Oryzias latipes: one gene and its partners. The protein of the gene in region 3 interacts with the protein of the main gene of each other region in a biochemical or structural test. Links are inferred from orthologs where the notes say so. Each region holds a gene or a part of one and is shown on either strand. Other genes may lie near its edges. The genes, in order: syndecan-2-A, frizzled-7 and syntenin-1.

Region 1 (10,600 bases), on a different chromosome or scaffold from region 3:
GTGAACTATGTTGTTATTCATGTGAGCCTTTTTCATCTGGAACATCTGATAAGTCAACATTGTTCAGTTGAAATGCATAAAATACTAAACAATGCACTAAATTTTTCAGTTGATTATGCTGAAACACAGTGCATAACACCAATCAGCAAGCATAAAAGCTGCAGCAGAAATGTTCCTGTTTGATAAAAAAATGATGATCAATGCTTTTTGTGTTCTCAGTTCTTCCATTATCGGGAAACCTCTCAGTCAGTTCTGCCGCAGCAGCCTGAGACCTTTAGTGGAACAGATGGAAAACTGACGAAGAGGAGGAGAACGTTACACCGGACTCACTTGTTTTTTTGGTTCTACTTGTGAAATGTGTCACTCTTCCAACACTTGGAACTTAATTTATTAAGATCCTTTATAAAGAAAAAAGTGAATTCAAAGTAGATTAAAAGTACAAACAATATTATGTACCATATTTTTTAACTGTAGGGTGCAGTGGATTAAAAGGCGCACCATCAATAAATGGTTTATTTTTGAATTTATATCATAAAAAAGGGGCACCGAAATATTAGGCACATTAAGCGAGACAAAAGAGTCAGAGATAAGTCCCTAAGTCAGTCAGACTATATTAACTGTGTCCACAGTAACTCAAGAACTGGTTTGTGACATGTTACACGTTAGCCACGTCAGCGTATTCACAGGTCTGTAACTCCTAACCTTGTTTGCAACACACTACCAACAACAAATGTTACTGAGACTACGCTAAATCCTAAAATTGTTGGTAACAGGTAAAAAACACACAGTCCGACAAGGTAGCTGGGTTAGCGTATTTACAAAACACTCAACCTTTTTTTGCATTTTGTAAAAAAACACAACAAAACGGATACTTTGACAGAGTGCCGTGTACCACTTAAAATAGCTTTTTAGATCATTAAGCACAACCATGATTAATCCACATATAAAGCACTCCGGATTATAAGGCAGGAAAAAAAAGTATTTAAAGTGTGCTTTTTAGTGTAGATAATGTGGTAAAGGAAAATTGGGCACATCCTGTGTTTTGCAAATGTTAAATTATTGCAATGTAGAGTGGGGAATGAACAGGAGAAATGGAATGTTGCTAGAAGAAACAGATTACAGGCCTTTAAAAAGGTTAACATGTTTTTTTGTGTCACGAGCCCAAAGGCGGGATGCCGTAGCAACGCACACTCGAACACCACCAATCTAGTCTGTACATTTACTGACAATGGCCAACAAGTATAGGCTGTGACCAATCAATCTCAGCTGACAATTCCTAAACTTTTAAACAGGTGCAAAAGAGGTGCTTTCTTCAACTCATACAATCATTTGGATGTTCCAGTTTTCACGTACCTTTCCGAACTTCACACTAAAGTTACCGAACCTGGTCCCTGAGAATCCAGGGTCTGTTTTTACCCCTTGTGCTATCTTAGATGACCCCACCCTTACATTGATGTGTTCTCCCTACCATGACAAAGGTGGATAAAGGTGGAAAGATTTCATGTAATCCATGGAAACCAGTGAAGATCACAAATCCTTGAAGAAAAAAGGTTCAGCGCACTGTCTAGTGGGTCTAGATCAGTGTTTTTCAACCTTTTCTGAGCCACGGCACACTTTAACCTTAAAAAAAATCCCGCGACACACCAGCATCCAAAAATTAAAAAAAAAGGACAAACTCATAGTCTGTATTGATCTACAGCCCCTGCACAATCTCACATGCATTTTTGAGATAATTGTTACAGAAAAAGCTGGAAACTGCAGCTGTTTTTTTCTAAAAGATGCAATAAAAGTTAAGTTAAAAGATTTAAAAACAGTTTGTGTGTTCGTTAGTTTCAAGACGTTTAACAACAGATCTCCTTTTGCGCTGTCACTCTCACAACCCAATGCATCATGGGAAATGTAGTGCATAAAACGGCCGAAGATCGGTTTTCGGAGCTTCATTGTTTTGTTCACTTGTTCCACGGTCTGACATCGGATTCTGTGGAAAGCTACAGCGCTAAAGACGAGCTTTAGCTGGTATTTCTGTTAGAACTGAGCGACTTTACGAGCTAAATCGGGACAAGGAAGTGAAGACTTTAAGCACTTCTGATTGGTCAGACCGATGACATGTGATTAACCCCCCCAACACGGGACTTTTCCAAAATACAGCCGAAGGTGCAGCTGAATCGCGGTACTCATTCTTATCAAAATGTCTTTAATAAAATAAAATAAACGCAAAGAAAAAGTATTTTACGATCTTTCATATTCCTAACTCCTCAGTGTTTTATCAGGGTCTGTTTGGATGAACAGAGAGCTAAAATCCTGGAGATGGGAAATGTTTTTAGATCAGTTAATGAGGGCAATTTCCCACGGCACACTTGGCCATCTCCCACGGCACACTAGTGTGCCGCGGCACACTGGTTGAAAAACACTGCTCTAGATGACCCAACTCCTAACGTCAAAGTGTCTAGGATAGCACAAGGGTTAAGGGGGCATGATGAGCTTCATCCAGTGTGTGTCTTTGAGCAAGACCCTTCAGGCTGCTGCCTATGCAGCCGGGGGAAGCCAAGTATGGGTTCTTGGCACCCTGTGTCATTATCTAGCCCAGATCAAATACAGGGTTGTGTCAGGAAGGACATCTGGCGTAAAATTCTCTACCACCTGTGCGAATCGGTGAAAGCTGATTCTCTGTGGCAACCCCTGATGGCACATGCCGAAAGGTGGCCTACCGGCATGATTAATTTATGTATATTTTCTTCTCCCAATTTTCTGTAACTTCTTCTAAAACTGCACATATCGTATATTCAACGAAAGCAAAGCTGCCAAATGTTTTGTGTGTACTATTTTGCTGATCAAACAAATGCCATGTTGCAAATGCTGTGATAGTCAACCAGGTGTATTTAGTAAACGGGGCCCTTTTTGGTTTGCTGGGTAATCTGGAGTGACTTTATAAGCATAACATCTGCCCTCTTTTTTTTCAGCCCGATCAGATCAGAGTTTTTAGACCTACCAAACATGATCCAGACCAAACAGATCAGTGTGAAACCCCCTTGCTCAAAAGTTCTCGTTTCCACGTTGATACCCTTTCTCACATAAATTTGTGACCACAATCCACTGAACAATCTCAGTGGGTCAGTGTTCTGGGTCATCACGTGTCCTAGTGTGGCCTTCCACACACACAAACACGCACATGCTGGCAACAGAAGGGGCTTTGCCTGAGTCCTAATTGGCCATATAATCTGGGACACCAGGAGGAGAGATAAATCCTGAGGAAGAGGCCTGAGAACTTCAGAGGGCTGGGGGATGGGAGACTTTTGCGAAAGAAACCTGAAGCCTTTGAAGATAGTTTTAATGGTTATAAAGGTAAAATGAAGGTGGGGCATTTCCTAAAGTGACCTCACCCCAATCAGCTCAAACCCTTAACGGACAGGTTTGACCTGGTTTCATTGAGAAATTGCAGAGTATCATTGGCGCAGAAGTGGAATTTCATATGTTGCTCAGTAATGACGAAAGCAGGCAGGTAGTTGCCAGACGTGGGTTAAACCAAATCCATGTGATGGTTAGAATGCAGAAATTTACGAAAATTCACAAATCATATACTAAAAGCATTAAAATATATTTATGTACATGAAAAAAAAACAGAAATAGAGCAGCTAATCTGTCATGTCTGACCAGTGTGTGTTTGATTGGCTGATTGTTTAACTCTTCAGTACAGCAAATTCTTGATATGGCTTCATTATTAATCATGAATTCTTAGAAAAATTACATTTTTGGTCAGCATAGAATAAGTGCTAAACTATTATGAGTATAGATTTAGTGTTACAATTGTAAATTTTATATACAACCAAAGTCCTACAGAGTTTTTCAACAAGATAAAAGGATTATCAGCTAAATTATAGGAAGATTTTATTGAGTAAAATGTGAAATTTAGACTAAACTATGTTCTGTAGGTGAAAATCTATGTCCTGTGTATCATAACTGCTTTATTTTGTGATATATGTTTGAAGTTTTGATATTAAAGGACGTCACAGAGAGAAGTTGCCTCGCGCCAGCAGGGGGAGCTTTTGTCCGCGTGCCGAACGAGTGCGCGCCTCTTTGCGCAGCTGATGATCAGCTGACTCCGCTCCTAAGGATCAGCTCGCCCACGCGCAGACGGACGCGTCAGAGCGTGACTCCTCCGGTAACGGCCGCGCGGCTCTCTTCACGTTTTTGTTTGTGCGACTTTGGCGCGAGTTCTCCCGGTGTCTCGGTGAAGAGAGGCGCACGCGCTCGCCGGAGCGCCCGCGCCTCAGTCTGCCCTCGTTTCCTCAGAGCCAGCGACGTGTCCTCGCGGGGATTTCAGCAGCCGGGGGCGCCTGTTTGCGTAAATTCAGTCAGGTTTGCGGAGGGGCAGGAGGAGGAGGAGGAAGAGGAGGAGGAGTAAACCCCCCTCCGGCGCAACACGTCTCCGAACTGCAGGAGGAAGAGGAGGAGGGGAAGGTTGTTGTTGGACCCGTGCGGAGGAACCATGAGGAGCGCGTGGATCGTGCTGACCGTCGCGCTGAGCGTCTTCCTCTGCGGGGACACGGTGAGTTCTCCCGGACACGCACGCGCAGCTCCGTCCGCGTGAAGACTGTTTGAAAAAGTTCAGCCTTCACAGCTGAAGGACCCAACGGCGGGTCGACTCGCACTCCGCTCACCTTCAGACGTCAAGTGAAGAAGTCATTTGTCAGACAGATGCAGCTTATCTGTGATTAGACTGAGGAGGTCTGAGCTTCACGAGGAGAACTTCTCCATCTTCAAAACAGAGAAGTGAAGTGGCTCCTCCAGTTTGGAGATCAATCCACAGATTTGACTTTCAGGAATGCAGACCTGGAATGAAAAGTCCTTCAGTTCCTCCTTCTGCTCTTTATGGTGGTGAAACAACAGCAGCTGAAGAGAGCAGCTTGACCTTCTCAGGTTCCTTGAACCAATCTTCTTTTGTAAATCGTTGAATCACTGCGGACCTGGGGTCTAGTTCTGCAGGATCTTCATGTGCATACCTTCTTAGCCAAACGCTCTGACCCGTGCTGTTCTGACCCGTGCTGTTCTGACCCGTGCTGTTCTGACCCGTGCTGTTCTGACCCGTGCTGTTCTGACCCGTGCTGTCCTCGTCTGAACAGCAGTCTGAGGTTCTGCTCCATGGTTGGTTGGTGTCACATTCTGGAGACATGTAGGGAGTCCTAAAGCTACAATCACACCAGCCACCAACCAAGAGTCAAAGTATCATAAAAGCTGAACACAAACAGGCATCGGTGTGTACGTAGCTTAAAATGGACGCATTTTAGTTGGAAGTGAAACTTGTAATTGTCTGAATTTGGTGTTGGAGTATCAACAAATTCACTTTGGATCCATCTCTGTTGAGTTTTGAGGTCCTGGAACACCTGAAGGTCAGTGGATCTGTTTGGTTCTGATGGACCTCCTGAAAGTTTGCTTTCATCTTTTTCTCAGTATAAGCATGATGGATGTTTGTTTGTTAAAGTGAAACCACTGTGAGCCCCCCAGGGCGCACTCAGTCCATCTTCCCACCATTACGCAATCCCTAATGGAGCCTTTGGGGGGCGTTGCAAGGGGACCAAGCTTTTTCTACTCTCCTTCACATCCAGAATGAACCCAACCATCCAGAGGAGGTTGGGTTCATTCACCAGCTCACGTTTCTTGCCAGCTGTTGTACCTCTTGTGTGCTTGTATTTGTTCTTTGGGACTATATGTTATGGGATCATGCTTTTGTGAGGACCAACAAGAACCGTGTTCGACGCAGAGATGATCCCCAAATAATAAGTCAATTCTGGTTAAAAGGGAGTCCAACCCACAATAACTTGTCCGATTTAAAAATTGCAATTTAGCTAATGTGGTGATATGGGTGTGTTCCCGAAGGGAAATATCACACACGTGCTTTGTGTACTTTTGTCCCCAACCCCCAAGGCCGTGAAACAGTAGTGGTCCATGGGTCACTGAGAACAAAAATAGAACTCTTATTCTTCTTCTTATTATTATTATCTGATTTATAAGGAAGTTTGAAATTGGAAAAACTATGGGATACTCTCTTCCACATTTGTCTATGACTCACTCTTTATGCACGTCTATTCGTTCTCCTCGATTAAGCATCGTGAATATGTTTACTAGTTTCTTAACCCTTTTACACTTGAGCTTTGAAATTCTTTCAACTACCCCAACTCTTCGACCCTAAATGGAATTAAAGTAATGCTATCGGATTCTTAAGCGGGGAGAAAAGTAGCCTTGCGCTTTGCACCAATATCCGCACAAAGTCGCTCTTCTCCGAAACAGAATCCGCTGGTTCTCGTCGATTGGGTGAGCGCTTCACTTCAGTGAAGTGTTCCAGATCAGACGGTTTCCCTCTGCTTTAGAATCTGCTGGAATTACTTTAATTGCAAAAATAGTTGAAAAGTTCTTGTAACTGAAAAAATATCAACACTAGAGCTGAAGCTTTGGAGTTAAAGGGTTCAAAAACTGAATCGACTCACCATTCCGTTTTTTTTTTAGATGACATCCTGTTCACAATTGTTGTCAAAATGGTTTTTATCAACATTAACCTTCATAAAACGCCGCTTAGCCCTGCTCTACATATGCTAGCCCTTTAGCGACTGGAGGAATCCCGACTCAATTTAGCCAATCAGAAGGACGGTTCTGTGCTACCATCAGCACAAACCCCGATTTTTGGACGCACAAAATCAGACTAATACAAAATGTTTACTTTGGCTAGAGTTTTCAGAAATGGTCGTTTTTATGACGCAAAAAAACTATCTTTTTGTGTGGGCAGCATCCTAAGCGCAAACAAACAAATGACAAGATACGGATGATAACCTACATCTAATGAAGGGCTTTCGGGGTTTGTGGGGGGTTGGTACTTTTTTGGCTGAAAGTTTTTGGTGGGGGGAGGATTATGGTGTGGGTTTAGTGTGGTATGCATGTTGAACCGATCTGGACCTAGTGTTCTTGTGTGGAAGCGGTCTCTAAGTTGATTCTAGAGTGAAAGAGCCTGAAAAGAGGTGGAGAGATGGGAGAAGTGGTTAGGCGTTTCCATTTTTCCACCAATAAAAACGGGCTTGTTTCACCCCCCCCCACCCCCCCCCACACACACACACATTGTGGTGGCATAGAGTTTGGACAAATGTAGGTTTGAGAAGTTCCCCTTCCTCCTCCACCTCCACCTCACAGGCTGTTTCTCTGGCAGGCTCCCTGAAGACCAGCGGCTCGCACAAAAGAAAACAGATCGAAGGCCGTCCACCACCAACACGGTTACTAAGTAGATCACGAGGAAGGGGGAGCCGGGGGACTTTCATTGGCCCCGCCTTTCTCTTTTTTCCTGTCCTTAGAGACTCATTCAATGTAAACTCTGAGGAGAGAGGAAGAGGAGATGTTTATATTCCTCCTGCGTCTCTAAAGTGGAAGAGGATGCGAGAAAGGGCAGACCTTTTAGTCCTAAATATCCTCCACTTTGTTGCTAAGATGACGGAATAGAAGTAAGAAGCCGGTAAATCACAGGGGTAGAAGATCAAATATGTTTTTGGATGTTATTCTGCAGTTTTTCCTCCAGAAAATCTAACAAATGTCTTGAAACTCTAGTAGTTTTACATTTGAAAATTCTCCCTAGCAACCGTTGTGTCCCGATAACTTTCTTGGTATTTGAAATTTGTGTTGACGATATTTTTGAAGTGTTTATGTTGCCATGGCTAAAATTAGGTGGTGGGGTCGTGCATCCCAAGGACAATCATTTTGAGGAGTATGAGCTGTCATTGTTATTCCAACATTTGTTGCATTAATCCTACAGCTTTAGCTCCGGTGTTAACATTCTTTTGACCAGCGTAACTCTTCAATCGTTAACGCAGTAACGTAATTCCAGTGGATTCTGAAGCGGAGAAGTAGCGGCTTTGGGCTGATGTGCAAAACATTACAGTAGTCATGTGTTTACGAAATCAACGTAAAACTAATGATTCTGTCGCAAAGAAAACCACCATTGCACGTATATGCAACACTTAACGTTGATAACGTGTTGCGTGTCGGTGCAAAGCTGATACTAAAAGCCACTTTACTCCACATCAGAATCAGCGGGTTCACGTTTGACAACATTTGACAATTCTTCCTAGCAACCACAACTTTTTTTTCGCATTTGAATTTTGTGTTGACGATAGTTTTAAAGCGTTAATGTTACCATGGTTACCTTTAGCTGGTGTGGTCATATATCTCTAAGACAGTCATTTTGGAGAGTCTGAGTGGTTGTCGTCGTTCCAACAGTTGTTTCATTGACCTTTTAGCTTTAGCTCCAGTGTTGACGTTCTTACAACTGCTGTAATTCTTTCATCGTTTACGCAATTATTTTATCGTAATTCCATCGGATTCTGAAGCGGAAAAAAAGCAGGTTGGTGCTGTTATGTAACACTTTACAGTGGTAAAGTGCTTACGCCACCAACAATTCAGCTGATTTTGCTTTTCATATCTGCTTAAAAAGCCGCTCTTCTCCACGTCAGAATCAGCTGATTCACGTTGATTGTGTTGTTACGGTCAAAGATTTACGGTTTGTCAAATTTAGGCGTCACCGGTAACATCTCTGGCGGTAAAGGGTGAAGAGCTTAATCTGAGCTTGTTTGTGTTCCGACTCGTGGTTGACATTGACATCATAAGCAGGAAGAAACAGAAGATCAGGAAAGCAACAAAGATCAGGTGGCAATAATCACAAGTGGACCTCCATCACCCGATGCTTGACCTGGAAGCAGTTTATGACCGCTTTGACTTCCTTTGTAGGACCCTAAGAAGATAAAGGTCTGATGAAGAGGAGCTGCACTCAAGGGTACATGGTGTTTCCTCTCAGTGAGCCCCAGAGAGGAAAAAAGAGGGCTCCCCATGAATATTCAGGGTGAGACGTGCTCACCATTGTAAGGCGTCGTAGGAGGCTGCAAACGCGGAGAAAACCAGCCAGGACCCGAATCTGAGCCCTATCATGGTTCCACCTTTGGTAAGAGATAGTGTTGACCAGTTCAGTCAAGCTTTTTGGACTGGAGAAGCTCAAGAAGATCCAGACAAGAAACAGACTTTTATATAACATTGAACATTGATCTTCACAAGACAGAAACTTGTTGAACAAACTTTGAGGTCAACAGAGTCTTTACATATTCTACTTCTGCGATCTTTGATCCGATCAAAGACATTTTGCACATGGAACCGCAGCCTCCTGGAAAAGTCTATTGGCATTAAGGGGTGGGGGAGATGAGATATAGATGTTATCACTGAAGTAGAATCACATATGTTGTCATGTTTAGCGGCCACATTCATGCAGACACCTGCTGCTCAAGTTTGAGTAAAAAAAAAAAAAACAACACTTTTCTCCACGTTTCTGACTGAAACGCTCCGCTTCAGCCGCGTCACTCGAGCCCAACGGTAGTTTTGACAGCTCCACAGGAGCGAGTGCGGGAACAAAAACCGGTTTCGGGGGAGTTGGGGAGAGAATAAAGGACTCTTCTCAACGAGAACATTCATTTTTCTCTGACAGGATCTGACGGTTTGAATAAGGAAGGCTTTCAACAGCGTAGTTCGTATCGACATGCATTTCCTTTGAGAAATGTAAGTGTGATGATTTTTGGTTTGAAAAAATGCAAAGAATAATAATCCGTCATGGGGGGTTTGAAAACAACTTTAATCCTTTTTTTTCACAGGTCAGACAATTGAAATGAAAAAATAAGGAACAAAAATAGAAAACCAAGTGTTGTTTTTTAAATTTTGCACAAAGAAGCTCCCTAATATCAATTTTGTGCAGTTTTAAATAATTGTATGCATTTTATTTGGTAACATGCTGAAAACAGATCCACTGGAATATCACATTTTGATCAGTCACCTTCAAAGATACCGTGTCTGTGTGTTTTTTCCTTCACAATAAAAGCTGAAGTTCCTGCTGAGTGTGAGCTGCTTCAGGCCTCCCAACAGGAGCTGGTCGGTCTGCATGGAACTGGGTGACGTTTTTCAGGTCACACAAACAAATCATAAAGCAACGCAGGACAATTGTTGCAGCTGATGTTGTTTCATCGCTTTATGGAAACTCTCTTTGAACCCTGGAGAGGAGGAAGCACAGCTGCAGAGGGGGAAGCGTGGGAAACTCTGAAATGAATCCTGATGCTATGAGACGGATAGAAACGTGATGTCATCCTAAAAGAACTAAAAGAATGATTCAAATTTCTATAATTAAAAGCCAATAAATATTGAAGTCAATACTATTTATGATTTATGAATCAAGGTGGTGTTTATTGGAGTTTGTAACATGTTCTTGTGACATTTGTTTGATGATGGAGGACATATTTAAAGGAAATTAAGCTAAATAAATTGCATTTATGAATATTCTTTGGGTCAAATCGTTGTACATCAGGAGCAGACGAAGAAATGCTGTTGGGAAAAATAGCATTTTTGTAACAGAAAAATGGCCGGGCGGGGCACAAGCTCCCTGCTCTGCTCCATTCGGATGCATTGACTTATAAACAAATGGATCCATCTACGTCTTTGTTTTCCTCGTCTGAGCTGGCGTCTGACTCAAATTTGTAGGACTAGATGGCTTCGATCTTGCTCGCCATACCTTTTGCCATGCTAATGTTAGTTT
Region 2 (10,423 bases), on a different chromosome or scaffold from region 3:
ATTGCTGAGTATTTCGTTACTCAAATCATTGTGATTCAAGAGCAACCGAAAAAATGCTTTTGGAAAAAGCTTGAAGCAGTGACGTAGAAGCTACAATCGTCAGGCCACATGTTTTCTACTCCGCTCCATTCTCACGCATCCACTTGCAGACACAGATCCATGCACGTCGTCATTTTTCCAGTCTGAGCTTGCATCAGGTTCAAAACTGTACAACTGGATAGCTCCAATTGTGCTCATTGTTATTGTTGCACCACTAATGTTAGGTTGTGGGTGTGAGGGGCTGTAAGCTAGCGGGAGAGAGTGTAAACAGATAAATGATGGGAAGTGGAGACGGACTTACTCTGCCCCAACAGTCCTGCCTACAACTCAGATGTAAAATTCTAATGAACTATTGTTGCTCTGCAGAAACTATTCCCTATAAATGATAGTTTTTTTTCCATTTTGGACAAAAAGAGGGCATAATTATATTTAAAAAGACCACTGGGACCTTTTAAATAGATAAAAAAAATGATTGGAGTGGGAATTCAAACAGTATTTAGCAGATGGTTGTTAGGCTGACAGCTGATTATTAGTTGGACAGTTAAACTAATTGTTTCTGTTCATGTTTTTTGGTTGTTAAGGTTGTAAGACTGTACATTAGCATGTCAAAATCCATTCATTGATGTGTCGGTTTCCATCTCAGGCATTTCCTGCCTAAATAGCCGTACACACGCAACTGTGTCAGATCTAATAAGGGTTTGGTCAAAAAGTTTTACAACAAAACACCAAAAAGGTAATTCAGGCTTGACAGCAGCACACTCAGTTGCCACCCTGTTTAAGAAGTGGTGTGTGAAAGAGACTTTAGGGTAAGACTTAATTACATAGTGGGGCCCAGACAAATATTGTTTTAAGTAGTGTGTCAGGATTTCTCTCAGGATTTTCCCCGAACTTCTCAACCATTTCCATGTGAAAAAACCCCCACAGAAAATACTGTCATAAAAAGCAAAATTGGATAAAAGATTGGTGTTGTTGCTTTTAATAGTTATTTAGTCTATAGAGATGATGCAAATGTATAAGTAAAAAAAGCTGCAAACTTTAAAAGTTCTGTAGTCTTGCTAAGCTATGAATATTTAATTGATGTATTCCTACGATAAATCAGCATGCTTGCTGGCTTTGGAAATCGACATGTCGTTAAGCTAAAATTCCTCTTTAAACCAAACTAAACAGGATTTTTCCACTTTAACTGAACATAAAATAGTCACTGAGTGGTGGGTTTAAGTGGCACCTCCAGTACTTTACACAGGGGTCCAGCTCAAATGACACGTGCACAGTCCAAGCCATCATCATCTTTTTTTTCTCAGTTTATATCTCGCCTTAATCTGCTGAAAATCCATGTGTTTGTATAACTCTTTCCCCCCCCTCCAGCTGCAGTGGACTGCAGTCCAAACAGTGAGTGACTGTCTGGATGGCTACCCATCTGCTTGACCACTGCTGACTCTATCCACAAACATATGCACTCACACAAACAAACCGTTGCACATTGACATGATGGTGTTCGTTCCATTTGACCTGATGTGGCTACTAACTGCTGGGGCTCGCACCGCAGACAGTGAATGAAAACAAGCCAAGGACAGACCCCATCCAAAACTCTATAATCCTGCTACAAGTATTTGCACAAGACTAAAAAGACTGTTGCCCGTCTTTGTGTTTTTGAAAATTATTGGACTTTGTGCATACTTTATCTAGCTGATGCTGTAGCATGAAACTTCAAATATAACTATCAAACAAATGCATTTGCTCACATTGTCCCAGGGTACAACTTGAATATTTTTGCATTTACTTCTTTATAACCAGCTCAAGATGCACCACACAACTGTTGACAATCTAGATGACATGTCCAGCCAATCAAAATCTACAGACATAGAATAGCAGTAGTAAAATATGTTCATATTTTTCCAAGAAGAAATATTTAATTAGCTATAGCAAATAACCTTTAAATTGTATTTTTGGGTTTTCCCTATTTTCCTCAGAAACTGTTTATATTTATTTATTTTTTCCTGATTTTACTGTTGTTGGGTAAAAATAACAACATTTTTTTTTACATAAATCAGTTACTAGTCAAACTGGGATAGTCTTTCGACAATTTTTTTTAACCAACTGCCATCACTAGTGACAATGTGATATGCATGCAGTCAATACTTTTCCTACATGTATCAATTGAACATGTGTCCATACATGAAATAGCACTTTGCCTGGATGTTGTGACAGTGTGAGAAGCCAAGCCACAGATTCAATAATGTGAACATATATGTTATTAGTTAGCCTCTCTTTTTGTTCCTTATGCGAATTTCCTCTTTTTTCTTGCAGTTAACAAGTAATGTGTTGACTTACTTGTAAAGCTTTTGTCTCTTTATGTACCATCTGCTTTTTTTGGTAATTAAATTATTGCTGGCTGTGATCAAATTAACACAGATACAAGATGACCATATTAGAAGCAAAGGTCACCAACAACAATTTGATTAAATTTCACTCAGAGTTTAAATGAAATTAGAATTTAGTTTTCTTTATTTTTTTTTTCTTCTTTCAGTTTTTTAAAACAGAAATATTTAAAGAAAGAGTTTCTAAAAAGTTAGATTTAAATCTGTGATTCAAATGACTGCGCCTCTGTGTTCAGTTTGTTGTAACAGCAATTACCATCCCTTTTGGGGGTCTTTTTCTGTGAGCGGTAAAATCCAAAACCCTTTGAAGACTCCATGCTTGTTTAAATACTTGAAATTTGTATTCAGCTCCTATACTTTTATTAGCAGTAGCGCCCTGGATGAGCTAAGGGTGAATTTTTGTGGGGTAGAGTAAGGCCATCTTGCATGCATTAGGATCAGAGTTTTTGAGAGCCTGAGTCGTTTTGAATTGCTAAGTTGCTGAAAGACACAAAGTAGGCCTTGCCTTTGGAGAAACAAGTCAGATAGTTCAGCAACTTTTTTCAGATTTTATACAGCAACAATACGGCAGACTGTTAGCATTCCGTGAGCAATTTCATTTTGTTTCTTTAAAAAGTCTATAAAGAAAGTTTGATCTCTGGTCACTTTTCTCTGGGATACTTCATTTAACTCCTCTGACATCTCCTTTTGGCTAAACCTCTCCTCCCACTCCTTTTCCTTCTCCCCCTGCCCTCTTTGACCTTTTCTCTTCTTCCTGTCCCTTCCCCCATCGCAGCCAACCCCCACCATCTTTTAAGCCCACTCAGGGTAGAAACACACCAAATGCAGCGATACTGCCATGCAGCAGCTCCATTCATTCCCTCCAAGCCTGCTTTTCTTTGCTCAGATGATCATGCTGCCACTTTAAATGACAGCTGTTCTGACTGTTGTTTTCACCGCCCTACAGTGAGGAAACGGAGAAGGAGCTGTGCCTTATTGTTTGAAATGATGCCCTAAACCAGACCATGTAAAACACAGCCCTGTTTACTGGTTTAAAATGCTGGAATCAACTCTACTTTTTGTTTATTGTTCTACTTTTTTAGATTTTTATCAGTTTCTGTAGGCCGTCACGTGTCCCACTTGCAACCTTTTTTTTTATTTGTGTGTAAATAGATAGTAAACTGCAATTTTGGATGCAATTGTTAAAAATTTAAAGTGAGCCACTTTTGAATTAGAAATCAAAAAGAAAACTTAGAAATGTTTCAGATTTTTTGTCATGGCATTTGGGGCCCTTTCCCATGCCTACATCCTGCCTTGGCAGTTCACCAAAAAATTGCCTCTGAGTTGCAGGTGGGATAGTTTGCATGGAGTAAGCCTGTCTTCAATTTCCATTATCTCTTTGTTTATACTCTATCCCACTAGCTTACAGCCCCTCACAACCCTACGCTAACATTAGCAGTGCAACAAAGAAAGTAAGCAATATTTGAGCCATCCAGCGAAATAGTTTTGAGCCAGATAACGGCTCAAAAGAGAAAAACAAAGACTTAAGGCCCGTACACACCGGGACGAATATTCGCCAGGCGTTATTCGCCAGCGTTTTTCGCCACGTTTTTTGTGTTCACACCCAGGCGATTTTCGCTGACGGTGAGCCGAGCGAACATGCAATTTCATTCCCTGACATTAGATGGCGCTTAATGTAAACAGAAATACTCCTGTACACAAGGTGGCGCTGCGCAACTTTACGCTTCTTAAAGTCGCTTTTCACTCAGAAGAAGATAGCAAGTATTTACGCGCTTGTCAGAATCAAACAAAGAAAACATGAATATTTCAAGCATCAGTAGCTCCAACTGGTACTTGGTAAGGGGATATTTAAGAATGTCCGTCATTATTTCTTTGCGGCAGTGTTGACGCTACTTGGCGTCTATCTTCTTCGCTGGTATGTGTGCTCAGCAAGGCAGTTTTGTGTTTGAGCGCCCCCAAGTTGTGTTTTACTGTAACTTCAGAAGCTCCAGACACGTGTGCAAAAGCGCCATTCTCATTGGTCGAATAGATTTCGACGCGACGCGTCGAAAAAAAAAAACGAACCCGAGGCGTTTTTTTTTTTGACGCTTTGTCGCGTGGCGTTTTTTCGCGTCGGCGTGCACACTCTCATTGGTGCCCTTTGTTTAGTCACGAGGCGTTAAACGTCGGCGAAAATCGCCGGCGAAATTCATCCCGGTGTGAACAGGCCTTTACATGGATCTATTTCTCTGCATGTGGATGCATTGGAATGGAGTGGAGCAGGGGAGCTTGTGGCCAACCGATTGCAGTTTGTATGCAACAACCACGTTTTTTCCCTCCGTTTTATTTACTTTCGGCTCTTTCTTATTCACCACGATTTGAATAAGGAAATACCCAGAAATGTAGTTTTAGTGTTAATTTTCTTTATGTATTGTGAAAATAATGCTACAAGAACATGAAATAAACACAAAATAACACCATTTTTATTTGAGAGGGTCTTTAATAAGAAACTAATAAAATAATAATGTTTGTTAACTATATTTTGGTACAGGCATTGGTTTTAGTTTCTAATACCAATAAAGTAAAAAGCTCCAAGTCAAAAAGGGTGGAAAAGGTTCATAAAAATATCTCAATAGAAAAAAATTTATTTAATGGAAATCTCTAGTGTCAAGTTATTAGTGTAGCATATTTCCTTGCAATGGGGAAATTAAAACCAATCAGGAACAAGTCACGTAGGAAAACAAACGCCCGGATTGGCTGAGACGTGACGCTGGTTTTAAGGCGCCCCGTCATCTATTGGGGGGGCGGCGAGTGAAGGGAATGGGCGCCTTGAAACCGGTGGAATCTGCAAGGAGTGAGAGCGAGCTTCTGGACTTCCAACCGCCCAGCGTGTGAACCGACGCTCAGCGTGAAGTTTAGCCCCAATGTTCTAGATATAGGCCATTCGGTGGTGTGTTTCCCGAATTTCGCCGAAGTGAGAAGCTTAATGTTTGGGAGACGCTGGGATTTTTTTTTACGGCTGAAGAAAACTGACTTGGAAGTGTTGTTTTCCATTGAGTGGGAGTGAGAGTGGACGGCTTGGAGTCACTTACAAAGAACACTAAGAAGTCATGACGCGACGGACGCTTTTCCTGGAGTTATTACCTTAAATACAGGGAAAAAACTCGATTTGGACTATCTTTTACAGTAATTGTTGGGACTGTAAGTTGAGTTTTAAAACCGCTGCGGACTTTTTGGTGTTTTTAAGCCTTTTCGAGTTGCCCTTAGTTGGATCAAAGTTTTTCTTTCCCTCCCCCTCCTCCTCAACTATGGCGGCGGCCAGGTTATCCACTGACTCCTTGTGGCTGTGGATCATGTGGCTTGTGTGCGGGCTGTGTATGCCAGCCGCTTCGGCTCAACACTACAGCGACAGTGGAATATCAGTTCCGGAACACGGATTTTGCCAGCCCATTTCCATCCCGCTTTGCACCGACATCGCCTACAACCAGACCATCATGCCAAACCTCCTGGGCCACACAAACCAGGAGGACGCAGGACTCGAGGTGCACCAGTTTTACCCGCTGGTTAAGGTCCAGTGCTCTACCGAACTGAAGTTCTTCCTGTGCTCCATGTACGCGCCGGTCTGTACCGTGCTAGAGCAGGCCATCCCCCCGTGTCGGTCGCTGTGTGAGCGGGCACGGCAGGGGTGCGAAGCCCTAATGAACAAATTCGGCTTCCAGTGGCCGGAGCGACTGCACTGCGAGGCTTTCCCGGTGAACGGAGGCAGCGAGATCTGCGTTGGCCAGAACACATCCGAACCCGGCTCACCCTCCTCCTCATCCCCACATGTGCCTGAGCTTGTAACGGTTCCACCCAACAGGTTTCCGAATCCACCTCAACCTCCACACAATTCCTACCACCAGTTCTCCTGTCCCTTGCAGCTGGAAGTGCCTTCCTACCTCGGCTACAGATTTATGGGGGTCAAGGACTGCGGGGCCCCCTGTGAGCCCACTAAGCCAAGTGGGATCATGTATTTCCGAGAGGACGAGGTTAAATTTGGCCGACTTTGGGTTGGCATCTGGTCCATCCTTTGTTGTGTGAGCACTTTATTTACTGTGCTCACATATTTAGTAGACATGAGGCGGTTCAGGTACCCTGAGCGACCCATCATCTTCCTATCCGGTTGTTATTTCATGGTGGCTGTTGCATACGCTGCTGGGTTTTTCCTGGAGGACAAAGTTGTCTGCGTGGATAAGTTCAAGGGGGAAGGCTTCAGGACTGTAGCTCAAGGGACGAAAAAAGAGGGTTGCACGATCCTCTTTATGGTGCTGTATTTTTTTGGAATGGCCAGTTCCATCTGGTGGGTAATTTTATCCCTCACATGGTTCCTTTCTGCTGGGATGAAATGGGGTCACGAGGCAATCGAAGCAAACTCCCAGTACTTTCACTTGGCTGCATGGGCGGTACCAGCCATCAAAACCATCACCATACTCGCCATGGGCCAGGTGGATGGCGATGTCCTGACAGGGGTGTGCTTTGTCGGGATCTTCAACGTGGACGCCCTCCGTGGGTTTGTGCTGGCTCCACTTTTTGTCTACCTGTTCATCGGCACGTCCTTCCTCCTCGCTGGCTTTGTGTCCCTCTTCCGAATCCGCACCATAATGAAGCACGACGGAACCAAAACGGAGAAGCTGGAAAAGCTCATGGTGCGGATCGGTGTCTTCAGTGTGCTCTACACAGTACCAGCCACCATAGTGATTGCGTGTTACTTCTACGAGCAGGCCTTCAGGGAGCATTGGGAGCGCACCTGGCACATGCAAACCTGTAAGCGCTTTGCTGTTCCATGTCCGGTTCACAACTTTGCTCCCATGACGCCGGACTTCACTGTGTTCATGATTAAATACCTGATGACCATGATAGTTGGAATTACCTCTGGCTTTTGGGTGTGGTCAGGGAAGACTCTTCAGTCATGGCGGAGGTTCTACAAGAGACTTGGCAATGGCAACCATGGGGAAACAACAGTGTGAAAATTGGAGGAAATAAATTGCGTCACATTACAGTTTTGGACAAAACACCATAAGAAATGAGGTCGAAAAGCTTTTAAGTCAACATGTTTCTCCCTTTGGACCCCCCCCTCAGTATTTGGCAACAGCAAAACTCTTATCTGTTGCCTCAAAACGTCGGACGAACCTTTATTTCGCTTGTTTCTGTTGCTCATCAGTTACATCAAAACCATTGCTTTCCCATCGATTTTCAGACAAAAACTGGTGTTAAAGTCTGTGCTAGTCCCTGGACTGAAATCCCAGACTGGTGAAGTTACTATTTGCATATTATCAATGGTATCCTCATGTCACAATAGAAATATCATAGTCCATTTTTTGTTGCCATTTTAAGGTGGACTAACAGGATGGACTCATTTGTCCAGAAGCGTGCCTGCACGGCTCCAAATGCTTTTAATGGTATGATTGTTGAACCACCAACAACCTTTGACTGTGAATTCAATAGACATTATGTGCTTTTAGCTGAACACGGAAAAAGCTGTATTGTGTTAGGTTTTCAGCACACAGCTGCATCTCTTCAAGTGAGAGAAGTTCTTCCAAGTCTGTTTTATGTGCCAAGTTTTTCACAGAAATATTTTTCTTCTATATTTTCCTTTAAAAAAAAAAACCAAACGATTTTAATGTCTGAGACTGAAGGGTATTCACTAAAGTTACTAATGGTCAATATAAGGATGAATGAAGTTTTCTTATACTGGTTTGCACCGTTATTGTTAAGTGTAAAAGAATGGCTGTTACAGAACTGACTTACCTTGGATCTTGCATTTTAACGAAGCCACACAAATGTCTAATGTACGCGCTGTAACTGAGACACACCAAGCCCATTGTTGGTCTCTGTGTGTGGTCCTTCCGCAGTGGGATTCCCTATCAGACAGACTTTCTGTTAAGCCTCAAAGACACCCAAAGTAGCATTTTCCTGCCCCACGTTTAATCCGTGGGAGTGCAAATGGCTGCTCTGGTGCTCTGATCTTATTTTGTTCTACCTAAAGAAGTTCACACCTGCTCAGTATAACTTTTACTTCCTTACCGTCTTCCTTCATGTTCTGAAGTTATTTTTTGTGCTTCTACACAAGCAGACTGAACAAGTTGTGATGTTATTTTAGTGTCTGGATTATTTTAAATATCCTTCAAAAGAACAGTGAAACTGCTGGTCTCTGTTCAGACTTTGTCTGATCTATTAGAGAAATGTCAGTAGAAGGTCAGAGGTTGCAGGGATTTTTCTATTTGAAAATGCAGTGTAGGCAGATTCGATTAACTTTAGCCATTGTTTAGTGTTTTCTAGGGACTAAATCACCTCAGCGTGTAACAGATTGGTAACGCAACGTGTGTGATGTCCACTTTATCTAAAACGGGACATTGAATGTTTGTCAGATCACATGATCAGAACATATATATATATATATATATATATATATATATATATATATATATATATATATATATATATATATATATATATATATTATATATATATACAAAAAAAGTTAATTATCCTTGGAAGATATGCGCGGTATCAATAAGGTGATCAGTTTGATAGGTTTTAACTTTAACACTACGAACATGTTTTTATGGGGGATGGCACAAGTCACAATGCTGCTCTATCCACCCTGACTAAACAATAAAATTAGGAAAACATACGCGGAATCTGAATCAGCTGGATGGTGGCATGTGACCATAAGGTCATTTTGCTCTTTAACAACATAGTTTCTCTGTCTATGTCCTGTGTCCCTTTATAAAACATAGGAACTATCTGTAAGATTGTAGGTCAATGTGCAGTTTCATGGTCAACTTCAGATCTTTTAAATCTCCAAAGCTGTGCCCTCAATCCATCTATATTTTTATTATTATTATTATTGTTAAGAAGTTTCTGCTTTGTACCTACCTTTGTGTTATCCTAAAGGCAGTTTGTATATAGTAAATTTGTGATATTTTCCATGTGAATGTACTGCATACCTCAAACCCAGGTTAAAGTCGGCTCAAATGATTGACGTATTGGAAGTGAGTCGGCGAATCCACAGTCAGTCATTGGGTTGTTTTTTTTCTTTTAACCAAATATGATAAAGTAATTCTGCTAATGCCTTGAGACAGCTAAGATCTGCCATTTCCAATGACACTAGACTGACCTTTCCTCTTTCATAATTAACTGTTTATTTTACTTTAACAACAAATCCAAATCAGCAAGTAAAACATTTGAAAACTTTGTATTTATGAGAGGGTACCTTTTTTTTTTTTTACTTCTTTTCTCTTTTTACTGAGATAAGCCTTTTTGCAAGTGTACATTTGAATAAAAGTGATATAAAGTTTGTAAGGCATCCACTAGTCTCTGTGTACACATTTTTGGTTTACAACGAATCTCTATCTTGTTTGTTTCATCATTATGAGGACCTCGTAATTATAATTTAAACTTTGTTTTTTATGCTGACTTAAAAATAAAATTTCCATATATTTTTCAATTTAAGTAAAAGGAAACATTTATGCTACTAAAAGATATATAAAAAAGAAACCTAAAAATAGGCTCATAAACTTTATTAGATTTCTTTTAGGCTTAAAAAATGCAGAAAACATGACACAAGCCTATATTAAAAAACGTAATTTGAAAAATTCATTGTTTTTTTTCAAAGCAAAATAGTATATACTAGAAATACTAATTGTTAAATTTTGAGAAAACCTATAGTTTTAGAAAAACTAGTAACACACTGACCTCTCATGGCCACATATAGAATCAAGAGTTTTTTTCTTTTTGGTTCAAGCTATTTTATCCAATATGGTTTTTAAAGATCAGCTCCTAGTATGTTTTTCTTTTTCCTTATAGTTATGATTTTTGAAAAAATCTTTTGATCTTTGTTAATTGAAACCAAAAAGGAAACACTTAAAAATATTTCTGCTTTCAGATCTCCAGAGACGTTTCAGCCAAATTTGAAAGGGTTCAGCAAGCTCCTTTACTTTAGCTGTTTCTTTGCGGCTTTTCAAGAAGTGATGTGTCACTAAAAT
Region 3 (9,808 bases):
CTTAAAGTGTAGCTGACTGGAGCATACCAACTTTAACTGTGTAGTTTCATTAATAAGAAAGAACAATTATCAACTGGTTGACAAATGGATTTATCCGCCTAAAAAAAAAAAAAAGAATATTTATCCATGAGACCGTGTGCAAATCTGAGCTCCTATCAACTCATAAAAGGTGTTTTTTTTTTTTTTTTTACTAAGCCTGCATGAGGTGACAGTCGGAAGGAATGACTCATAAATAACCTCCAGCAAAATCAGACTATGTCATACAACTGTAATAAACAAACATCAACATCTGAGATAAAACCAGGAGAAATTTGATGTAAAAAATATTACTAATGTTGGTTTATAACAGTATAAAAATGTAAGAAAATGGAAAGAGAATAAAAAATGCTTCTAATGCCCTAGGTTATGGAGGATTTTGGAACATCTACAAACTTTTTCCAGAGACATTCTTGAAAAGCCTAACACTGAACAGTTACACACACGTCAAAGATCATTTGGGAATTTAATTTATCAGCTAAATTAACACAATTCTCTTCTAACATTAATTTATATAAGTATCACTTATTATGACCTTATATCACACAGAAGTTCAGTCACAAGACCTTCATAAAACCAGCCTGAGTCAGGGGTCATGTGACTGAAACTGGGCGTGTCTTATAACGTCAGCTGTGATTGACATGGTGCACAGGAGCAGGAAGCCAACAGTGACGTCACTTTCTAGAAGTCCCCTTAAGGTGTCTGCGACGAGAAGACCGAAGAGGCAGAAAATAACGGAGTGCTCATCTTTTTTTGGACTTTGAAACAAATTCACATCTACAGGTGAGCTATGTTTAATTTTTTTAAGTATCGCCGCGAGGCCATCTGTCGTACGTAGCTGTAACTGAGGTGAATTTCTGTTTTTACCTACATGCTAACGCCGTTAGCTAACCTCCCTCTAGCTGTTTATGCCGGAACAAAGACGCTTCTTTGAGCTCCTTCTTCTTCAAATTTTATTCTATTTTAATCCACGCGCTCGCTTCAGTCTCATGCTATTGTATTTATGAACGTGAAAAATATATGTTTTCTATATCAACAATGCTGCTTCTTATATGTGTGTACAGTTTCGGGTAACGTTCAGGAACATCTCGCGCGTCTCAAGTTAGCTTCGCCTCGAAACGAGAGTCTGTTTTAAAATATCATCATCACAAGAGTATAAAGAATTTGATTATTCTGCTGATTTATTTATAGTGTTGTGGGTTGTTAACTTATTTAAAAACCCACCCAAAGCGGCCTTTGTGGAGATTAGTGTCTGATCAACACAACTGTTCTCAGTTTTGAGCACGCGGGCCAATTAATTTGAATGCTTTTGCTTTAGTTTCCCCTTTTTCTTTCCTTGATTCCCGAAGACGTCAGCATTTTTTCCCCCTTTCCAGTCTTAATAAGTCATGTTTCTCGTTTCTTCCGGCTGTACCTTTATCAAAATAAATGGTGATCAGTGAAAATGTATTATTTTGATAGGATAAGAGTTTAAATTTAAAGCTTATATCATTTAAAATAGGAAAAATAATTATATCAGAGTGGCTAACTATAAAAAAAATGTATATCTCAAGTTTCCAATCAAAGTGGATCACTCAAAAAGTTTGGCTAATGGTTAATAAGAAAAAAAATAAGCTAATTGTTATAAGAACTGAGGCACAACACTGGTAAGAACAGGGATGAACTATCACTTATAAATTAAACCTTTTTAATTATTTAAGCCTGTCATTTTTGGTTATTTTAAGTGTGTGGTGAGTCCATCTTAAACCAAACCAAATATAATTCTTAGAAGTTAAGGGCTGCTTTAACATGTTTTCATTTGTTTGTTTTCCGTTCATGTTTTTAAAGGAATTTGTTAGTTTGACATTATATTTATAGACTCAAGTAGAAGTAAAGTTTATAAAAAAAAAAAAAAAAACAGTAAATGAATAATCTGCTAGATTTTCAGAATAAAGCAGAAGCTTTAGATCGAGTTCTGCTGAATGGGCTGCTCACACCAAAATATGTTGAATGGGAGCAAACACATGCCAGGCCTGGTGTGTCTGAGCCTTTGCACAAGCTTTCTTTGGCATTCCTCCTAATATAACACTACTTTGAGTTTCTTGACTTTTTTTTGCAAGCAAGTTAGATGAAACATTTGTTTTAAAAAAACTAACAGGAAACCAGTACACACATATTTAACAGTCTGAAACAAAAGAAAATTCTTTTGTCATGTTAACCTTCACTTGTTAATGTGACCTTCATATATATTTTCCGTCATCAGAAATCTTTACCTTAACAATCCATAAAAAAAACTTTTTTAACCTCCTTCAGAAAGGGTTCCTTCTTGTATATTTCAGTAAAATGATCTGCGCCTTGTTTTCCGTCGCAGTGGCAGACGTCTCAATGATCCTGTTATGTCATCTGAAGGGTTGCTCAAATGCTGCTGTTTTGTTTCCAGGCGTATTCATGTTCAGCCAGAGAGTCTGTATGAGAGAGGCATACAAAGCAAGCAAACACATAGCTGAAGAGTAAACAGTGGAAGGTTAACAAAAAGGCCTCTCTGTGTCCACACACACACAATGATGCACTTGTCCTGGAGGACTGAGATGAGCAGAATGGAGTGAGCCCTCAGTGATGTTAAAAAACCAACTGTTGCTTGATTTATGCTCTCTACATAAACTGGATTGTAGGACCTGTTTTTGTAGCTCTGATGTTTCTAATCTTCACACTTGAAGCAGCAGCTCTTCAAAGCTGACAGTCTGCCTCACAGAAGAGCTACTCTGATCTCAGAACCATACTTTACATCAGCCTCCTAATGCACATCGATATAATGATTGACTTAGTGCTGCACGGTGGCCTCTTTGGTCTTAACCGACATGTTAAAAGTCCTGCTCCAGCGTCTTTTCCTGTCTATGTGTCACATGATTTTTCCTGATTAGACCGCGCTGTTTCAGTGTCATTCTGTGTGTGAACTGGTGGATAGATTCTGATCAGTTGAGATTCCTTTGCGGATTTTGGAGGATTTGAAACGTTTTCACATAAAATAAAAAGGTTCCTAAAAAGCAGCATTAACTTGATCTAACAGCTGCACGTTTCTATCTAATAAGATCTGCTGACGCAAATGGTAATAAAAAGAGAATGCAAACTTCACCTGGCATTTCTCGTGATCTCACATTGTGTAAAACACATCCGCCTTTACTTTAACAGCACCTGTTTGGAGACACAAACGTCCCTATCATTTCCTACCATTGAGCTCCTGTCTGAAACGGGAAGCTATGCAGAAGAAGAGAACTAAGAGTCGGGCACTTGGATCGTAAACACATGCCATGTGAGATGACTATATCAGTAAATAGACTGTATACATGATGAATACTTTGGGTACAACGTGTTCTGTCTAAGCTAAATTTTTCTTGCCTTTTACTTAGTATTTTTGCATCTTCTGTCTTTTTTTTAATAAGAAAAACGTAATTAAGTCTTTCATAACAGCATTTCATGATGAGCCAGTAGTTCGCTTAGATAATGAAACAGTTCCTGTCTGGTTTAAGGGTTAATAATCTAACCTGCCTGAAGACCCACTCTGACGACAATTGTGTTTTCAGTGTTTTTAACATGTTATTGTGGCGTTTTCTCATGATGGAGGACATATATAAAATAAATTAATTTCTGAGTATTTCTTTATTCAAATGACTGTGAATCAGGAGCTGGACGATAAAACGCCATTTGAGAAAAGGCTTAATTGTGATGTAGGAAATTTGATCTAATGGAATCTAAATGATTTTAGGTAATTCCTACTTTGTAAGTTTAGTTTTTTCTATCAAACATAAAAAAAAGTGAAAAGAAGAACTGGCAAGGGTGAGATCAGCTGTTTCTTTGCAGGCTTAGGATTTGCGTCCGAGTCTTTTCAACACAAAGGCTCTTTGTGGAATGTGAGTTGTTTAGTGTATAAAAGTAATGGTATCAATTAAACATGCATAGTCAAATTCCACTCTCAGACATACTTTGCTCATTAGCTGCCTGCCATCATACTACAGATGGTTTCTGAGCTGCTGCGTTGTTTTGAAACCTCAGTCAGCTGACTCATTTCCTGATTCCACATTTTGGGGGGTGGAAATGTTTAAAAAAAAAACTGTTTCAAATTTGGTATTTCTGTGTTTTCGTAATCTCAAAGCCTGTTTGCGTCCTGTTGTCATTTGACCTTAACACATTCCCATGTTATGAGAATAAGTGCAGATTAAACCCATTTATTCATGGAGTGTGGACGATGAAAACATGAGCTGTAGACGTGGATGTGATCGTTTTTAAAGCTTCCTTCTGATGGCAGCTGATCAGTCCGGATCTTAAAGTTTGTGGTGCTAAGCTCCAAAAAGACTCCTTTGTTTAGGACATATATGTCTTCATGTGGTATTTATAAATCCAAATAAATATCTCTGCTTCGAGGAAACTGTTTCAAACTCTTCAGCTCTGCGACCCACAAAGGTGCAGTGAGTTTTCCAACTCTACACCCACAGCTGCTTCACTCCCTATTTTTAAAAAAAAATGGTCTGGAGTGACCTCTTCCGCAGCTTCCTGTGCCTAAAAAAACAGAACGGGACATTTTTCTCTGAGCTGAACTAGAAGTGTGTCTAGTAGTGTGCGATTGACCCAGTGTTTGCTTGTTTTGCATCTCACATGCAAGTTGCTTTGAAATAAAGTCTTTTGTTAAATGAATACATGTAAAAATAAACCATACAGAAAGTTAACAAACAACAAAGCCGTTGTATAAATCCATTTTAGCATGACTCTGCATATGAGGCCTTCTCGGATGTGATGCAAAACCTTGAAAATATCGTTAGTTTTCCTCCACTGAAGATGTTTATGTGATGGATTCTGCCGCTGTGGTCAAAGCACTTTGGTACCAGAGCATCAGTTCAGTGACCCAAAGGAATTGTGAACACAGGCGTGAATTTGAGGTCAGCTGGAAGTAATTCTACTGTTTTTATGTTTACGTTACACTTTTCATGTAAACATAAAGTGCTTCACACTGTGCATATGACAATAAACCCTTGGAAATAACCCAAGTACAATAAAATATAAAACACACACAATATAAAAAGAATAAAAATCTATAGAATTAAAACACATCCATCTATTTGTCCAATCAATCAATCAATCAATCAATCAATCAATCAAATCACAACAGAATGAGGAAGCGTTTAAAAAAAGAAATAGAGATGAAAGTATAAATATTGCTAGAAAACAAAAAAACTAAGAATATAGATTACATTTCCTTTTAAATATTCAATGAAAATAGAAAAATGGTAATCCAAATTTTAACTATATATTCCTTTTTCTGAACCCACTGAATCCCTCATAGTCATAAAAATTAGACCATGCATGTAAAAAACAAAAAAGGTTAAATTTAATAAAAACTAAATGCAGGAAATAGAACTGAACATTAATACACGAAATGAAAAATGTTTCAACCTAAGTTAAAAAAATCAAACAAAAAGGCTTTTCATGATCCTGACCTTCACTCCCAGATGTTTGTGTTTTCTCCTCAGCATGTCTCTGTATCCATCCCTCGAGGACCTCAAGGTCGACAAGGTCATCAAGGTAAGAGGAACTTTGTGTCAGTGACGTGACTTTAACTTTGGGTTATAGGAAGTTTTTATAGTTTATGTGATGCAGACAAAATTTTGAATCAACTCTAAAACTCTTATAATGCATTGATTTTCAACAATGATCCCAAACACAATAAGGAAAGTGACCACTGTCGTGGTTTTTCATGAGGTCTAAATTCTGTTTTCACACTGTGGTAACCTGGTTGATGGGCCTCGGATGTGGTCAGATTAACCAACATTTTTTCAGTCGGCGATGGAATATATGTCTCTAAGCGCAAACGGTTCAGTAACGCAGAAAGTCCTGACCATATATGTTTATCTGAAATTGCATTTAAACAGAGCTGACTGAAGTGTTTGCTGTTTTCAGGCTCAGGTCCAGTTCGCTCAGACTGCTGCCCCCATGCCTGCCATCACTGAGGGAAGCTCCCAGCCTGAGCTTGCTGCTGTTGCCATGCCAGCATCCGGTGAGTGGGACCGGTTCGAACTCCAGAACCACTTTCCAGATTGACCCTTTCCCTTCTGTTGAGCTGCAGTGTAAACTGGTAATGTATGGACAAAGTTTTGCAGAGGATGAAGTCTGTTAAAGGAGCTGATTGGTGTTGAAGATCGGAGCTAAAGTTGTTTAGAAAAACAAGAGGCTTCACTTCCAGAGTAGAGTTGTCTTACATGTGGAGTGATGTCTGCAGGAAGCCTCTTAATGATTCTATAAAATGGAAAATACGAACAGACAACCTCCAGGCTTTGCAAAGGACAACATTTTGATTATCTTCCCTCTTATTGTTCCTTTCATTTACTTTCTCTTCCCTATTTGGATGCAAAGTCCTGAGTGCTTTTGGTTCTTTGTGTTTCCTCACCATGGTGACTGGCTCAGGCAGTAATGCAGTGGGGATATGGTGTTGGGGGGGTTGGCATAAGGAAGGGACTAGGTTTTAAACGTGACCTGAAAGGGAAAAGAGGATGTTAACATAAATATGGACGGGATTGGAGATTTGGTTTAAATCTAAAGCTTAAGGGACAAATGTTTGGAAACCTCTTGTTTGTTTATCTACAGCAGTGTTTTTCAACCAGTGTGCCGTGGGAAATTGCCCTCAATAACTGATCTAAAAACATTTTCCGTCTCCAGGATATCAGCTCTTTGTTCATCCAAACAGGTCCTGATAAAACAATGAGTAGTTAGGAATATGAAAGATTGTAAAACACTTTTTTCTTTGTGTTTATTTGATTCTATTAAAGACATTTTGATAAGAATCTAGCCGTAGTTTCAGACGTTTTCGGAAAATTCCCACCCCTTTAACTGTCTCCACCAATCATTCTTGGAGGCCTAAAGTCTTCACTTCCTTGTTCTGATTCAGCTCATAAAATCGCTCAGTTCTAACAAAAATATCAGCTAAAGCTCGTCTTTAGCGGTGTATCTTTCCGCAGGATCCGGTATCAGACCGTGGAACAAGTGAACAAAACAATGAAGCTCAGAGACGCTAGTCTGTCTGCATTCGGCAGCTGTTTGCACTAGATCTCCCATGATGCATTGGGTTAAAGTGACAGCGTCTCAGCGCACAATGATTTTTTGTTGTTAAACGTCTTGAAAACACAATGAACACACATCAAACTGTTTTTAAATCTTTTAACTTAACTTTTATTACATCTTTTAGAAAAAACAGCTGCAGCGTCCAGCTTTTTTTGCCACAATCATCACAAAAATCCATGTGAGATTACGGAGGGACTGTAGATCAATACAGACTAGTATGATTTTCTCCTTTTTTTTTAAATTTTTGGATGCTGGTGTGCCGCGGGATTTTCGTCAAGGTTAAAGTGTGCCGTGGCTCAAAAAAGGTTGAAAAACACTGGACTACAGTATATTCTGTCATTGGTTAAAGTCCCGCTCCAATCATATGTTGATCCATTTTAAAAGCGTTCCCCGTGGCCTTTTAGTTATGATTATGTTGTTTTTAGTAAAAATCAAAAAACCTGTGTTGTTTTCTAGAACATAGTTTCTGCAGAGCAGCAAGAGTTTATCAGAAATTTGTCTTCTTGGCGCAGAAGTAAGCCTGCACTGATTTCCCATCATCCCCATGTTTACGTGCTCTCTATGCTAGCTTACAGTCCTTCACAACCCCAACCTCACATTACCAGTGTAGCAAAAATGGCGAGCAATATTGGAGCTATCCATCCGTAGAGTTTTGATCCAGATTCCAGCTCAGACGAGAAAAACAAGTGGATGCATCTGAATAGAGCGGAGCAGGGAGTTTGTGGCCCACCAATTGTAGTTTCTACGTAATAACAAACTTTTTTCTCACAAAATATTTTCCATCTGCTTCTGTTTATCACAACTACTAGAATAAAGAAATACTCAGAAAAACAGTTTAAATATTCTTCTTATATGTCCTCCATAATTAAAAAAAAAAAAAGCTACAACAACCTGTTACAATCACCAAAAATACGATTTTACAATAAACACGCCCGTGTGGTAGAACTAAATTAATGTCCTTTTCTGGGTGGAGTTTTTCCATTGTCAGAGTGAACATGGCCGATATAGCCCTCATTAAAATCCCAACATTTATTCATCAGTAGTATCTAGGATTGTTTTAAATTTTTCTCATCTCCAGTCTTTTCCTGTCTTTAAAGTCCATCCTTCGTATTTTTTCACCAACATTCTTTCCGTTTCCTTCTGTTCTTTATCCTCTCAGGTTTGTACCCAAATCTGGGGGAGCTGGGAGACTACATGGGTCTGGCCCTCAACAGTGACGAAGTCCAGAAGAACTTGGCTCTGCTGCCCGTCGGGGACAATGTATGGAATGCAGTTTGTAGTTTTTTTACACTTTGAAAGCATATTTGTCTGGAAGTGTATTGCATTCAATGAAAGAACAAATGGGGTGACCTTTTTTCTAATTTTTCATGTTTTTCTTTTTTTTTAATACATGGAAAAATTAGAATATGGAGTGCCTGTTCCGAAACTGTATATTTTTATATATTCTGTATATATTGTATGATGATCTGCTCTGTTGTTGTTTTTCATCTTAAATTCAAAGATGATTTTTTTTTTCAAAGATGCACAAATATGCATGTCATATGTGCTCAATTGGTAGCTGACATAAAAATATCAATATTTTCAACATCAGTGCATTTTTCTTGATGAAACATAAATCCCCCTTTTTTTTATTTATTTTTTAGGATTTTTAAACTTGTAGTATCAAACAGATTATCACTGCTGCCTTTCAAGCTGTACAACCACAAAGTCTGTCTCTTTGGTTACGTGTCAATGTGCCGAGTCATTCTGGCCACATTTCTAAAGCGGAACTAAAACGGTCACTTATTCAGCAGAAATGTTCATGTCAGTCATTACTTTTTAATTCATTTATTTACTGATCTCACTGTGCTGAAATTATCATGTCTCCAATTAGCTTGACGCATTTTGTGTTTCATTCATGGATGAAGGGAGAGAAAAACATCTCATTGATTGTTGAGTTTTTCTGCCCCCTTCTAAAAAGCCTTTTCTTCCTTCTATCCCCCCTCCCAGCAAGTGGCGGTGCCCGCCAGCTCAGGGGTCGGGGGTATGGTGCGGCCCGTGACCGGGTCAGACATCGGCATCCTGCGGGCTGAGATCCGCCCGGGGATCCGAGAGGTGATCCTCTGTAAGGACCAGGACAGGAAGGTGGGGCTGCGGCTCCGGGCCATCGACAACGTGAGTCCGCTCGTGTGACGTGGCTCGCACTTCTGCTCTGATAGCAAGTAAAGATAACTGCAGCTCCTCTGCTCTCGCTTCCAACTGGAGCTCCTCCACCTCTCTGACGTAGATCCATTCCTGCTTCACTCTGCCCTCCTGACGGCACGCCATTATTCTCTGATAAAGATGATTTCCGGTAGATAATCGCTTCTGACTTGCTCACCTTTCATTACCTATAAGTTCCCAGAAGATTTTGGTGGTCATTTTTATGTTTTAAAGCTCTGCCCATCAGCGATTCCTCTTCTCTATGAATCACTGAGCTTTAATAAATCTCATTTAGAGTTTACAGTAGGATGTAAAATGCCTAAAAGTCCTCTCATCCTTCCTTCTTTTGCTTAAAAAAAAGCTGAGAAGATCTTTATGAGATGTTCTTAATTTTGGTAATGGTGCTTAAACGATGAGGAAACCAGGAGACGCTGAAGGATTACCCACGAGAAATCCTTTCTTTAGTTTGGCCTAGAAATGCCTCTGTCCTCTTAACAGAGGTGAA

Evidence for each region.
Region 1: the proteins of syntenin-1 (region 3) and syndecan-2-A form a complex in vitro, tested with the Homo sapiens proteins (3 studies listed by BioGRID and IntAct, with this or other methods). The link is inferred for Oryzias latipes from reciprocal best matches to the Homo sapiens genes SDCBP and SDC2.
Region 2: the proteins of syntenin-1 (region 3) and frizzled-7 interact in a biophysical measurement, tested with the Homo sapiens proteins (2 studies listed by IntAct, with this or other methods). The link is inferred for Oryzias latipes from reciprocal best matches to the Homo sapiens genes SDCBP and FZD7.

The regions. Positions count from the first base shown.
Region 1 is NC_019869.2:20,660,154-20,670,753, forward strand, and holds the start of syndecan-2-A, read left to right. Parts: upstream 1-4,108; 5' UTR 4,109-4,486; coding exon 4,487-4,546; intron 4,547-7,921; exon of another isoform or gene 7,922-8,679; intron 8,680-8,760; exon of another isoform or gene 8,761-10,600. Other genes in the region: ppp1r36 (protein phosphatase 1 regulatory subunit 36), read left to right, coding at 220-298. UniProt on the Homo sapiens protein: Cell surface proteoglycan which regulates dendritic arbor morphogenesis.
Region 2 is NC_019879.2:16,921,565-16,931,987, reverse strand, and holds frizzled-7, read left to right. Parts: upstream 1-5,229; 5' UTR 5,230-5,704; coding exon 5,705-7,402; 3' UTR 7,403-8,836; downstream 8,837-10,423. UniProt on the Homo sapiens protein: Receptor for Wnt proteins.
Region 3 is NC_019865.2:5,710,621-5,720,428, reverse strand, and holds the start of syntenin-1, read left to right. Parts: upstream 1-651; 5' UTR 652-819; intron 820-5,537; 5' UTR 5,538-5,538; coding exon 5,539-5,589; intron 5,590-5,964; coding exon 5,965-6,061; intron 6,062-8,281; coding exon 8,282-8,382; intron 8,383-9,111; coding exon 9,112-9,276; intron 9,277-9,808. UniProt on the Homo sapiens protein: Multifunctional adapter protein involved in diverse array of functions including trafficking of transmembrane proteins, neuro and immunomodulation, exosome biogenesis, and tumorigenesis.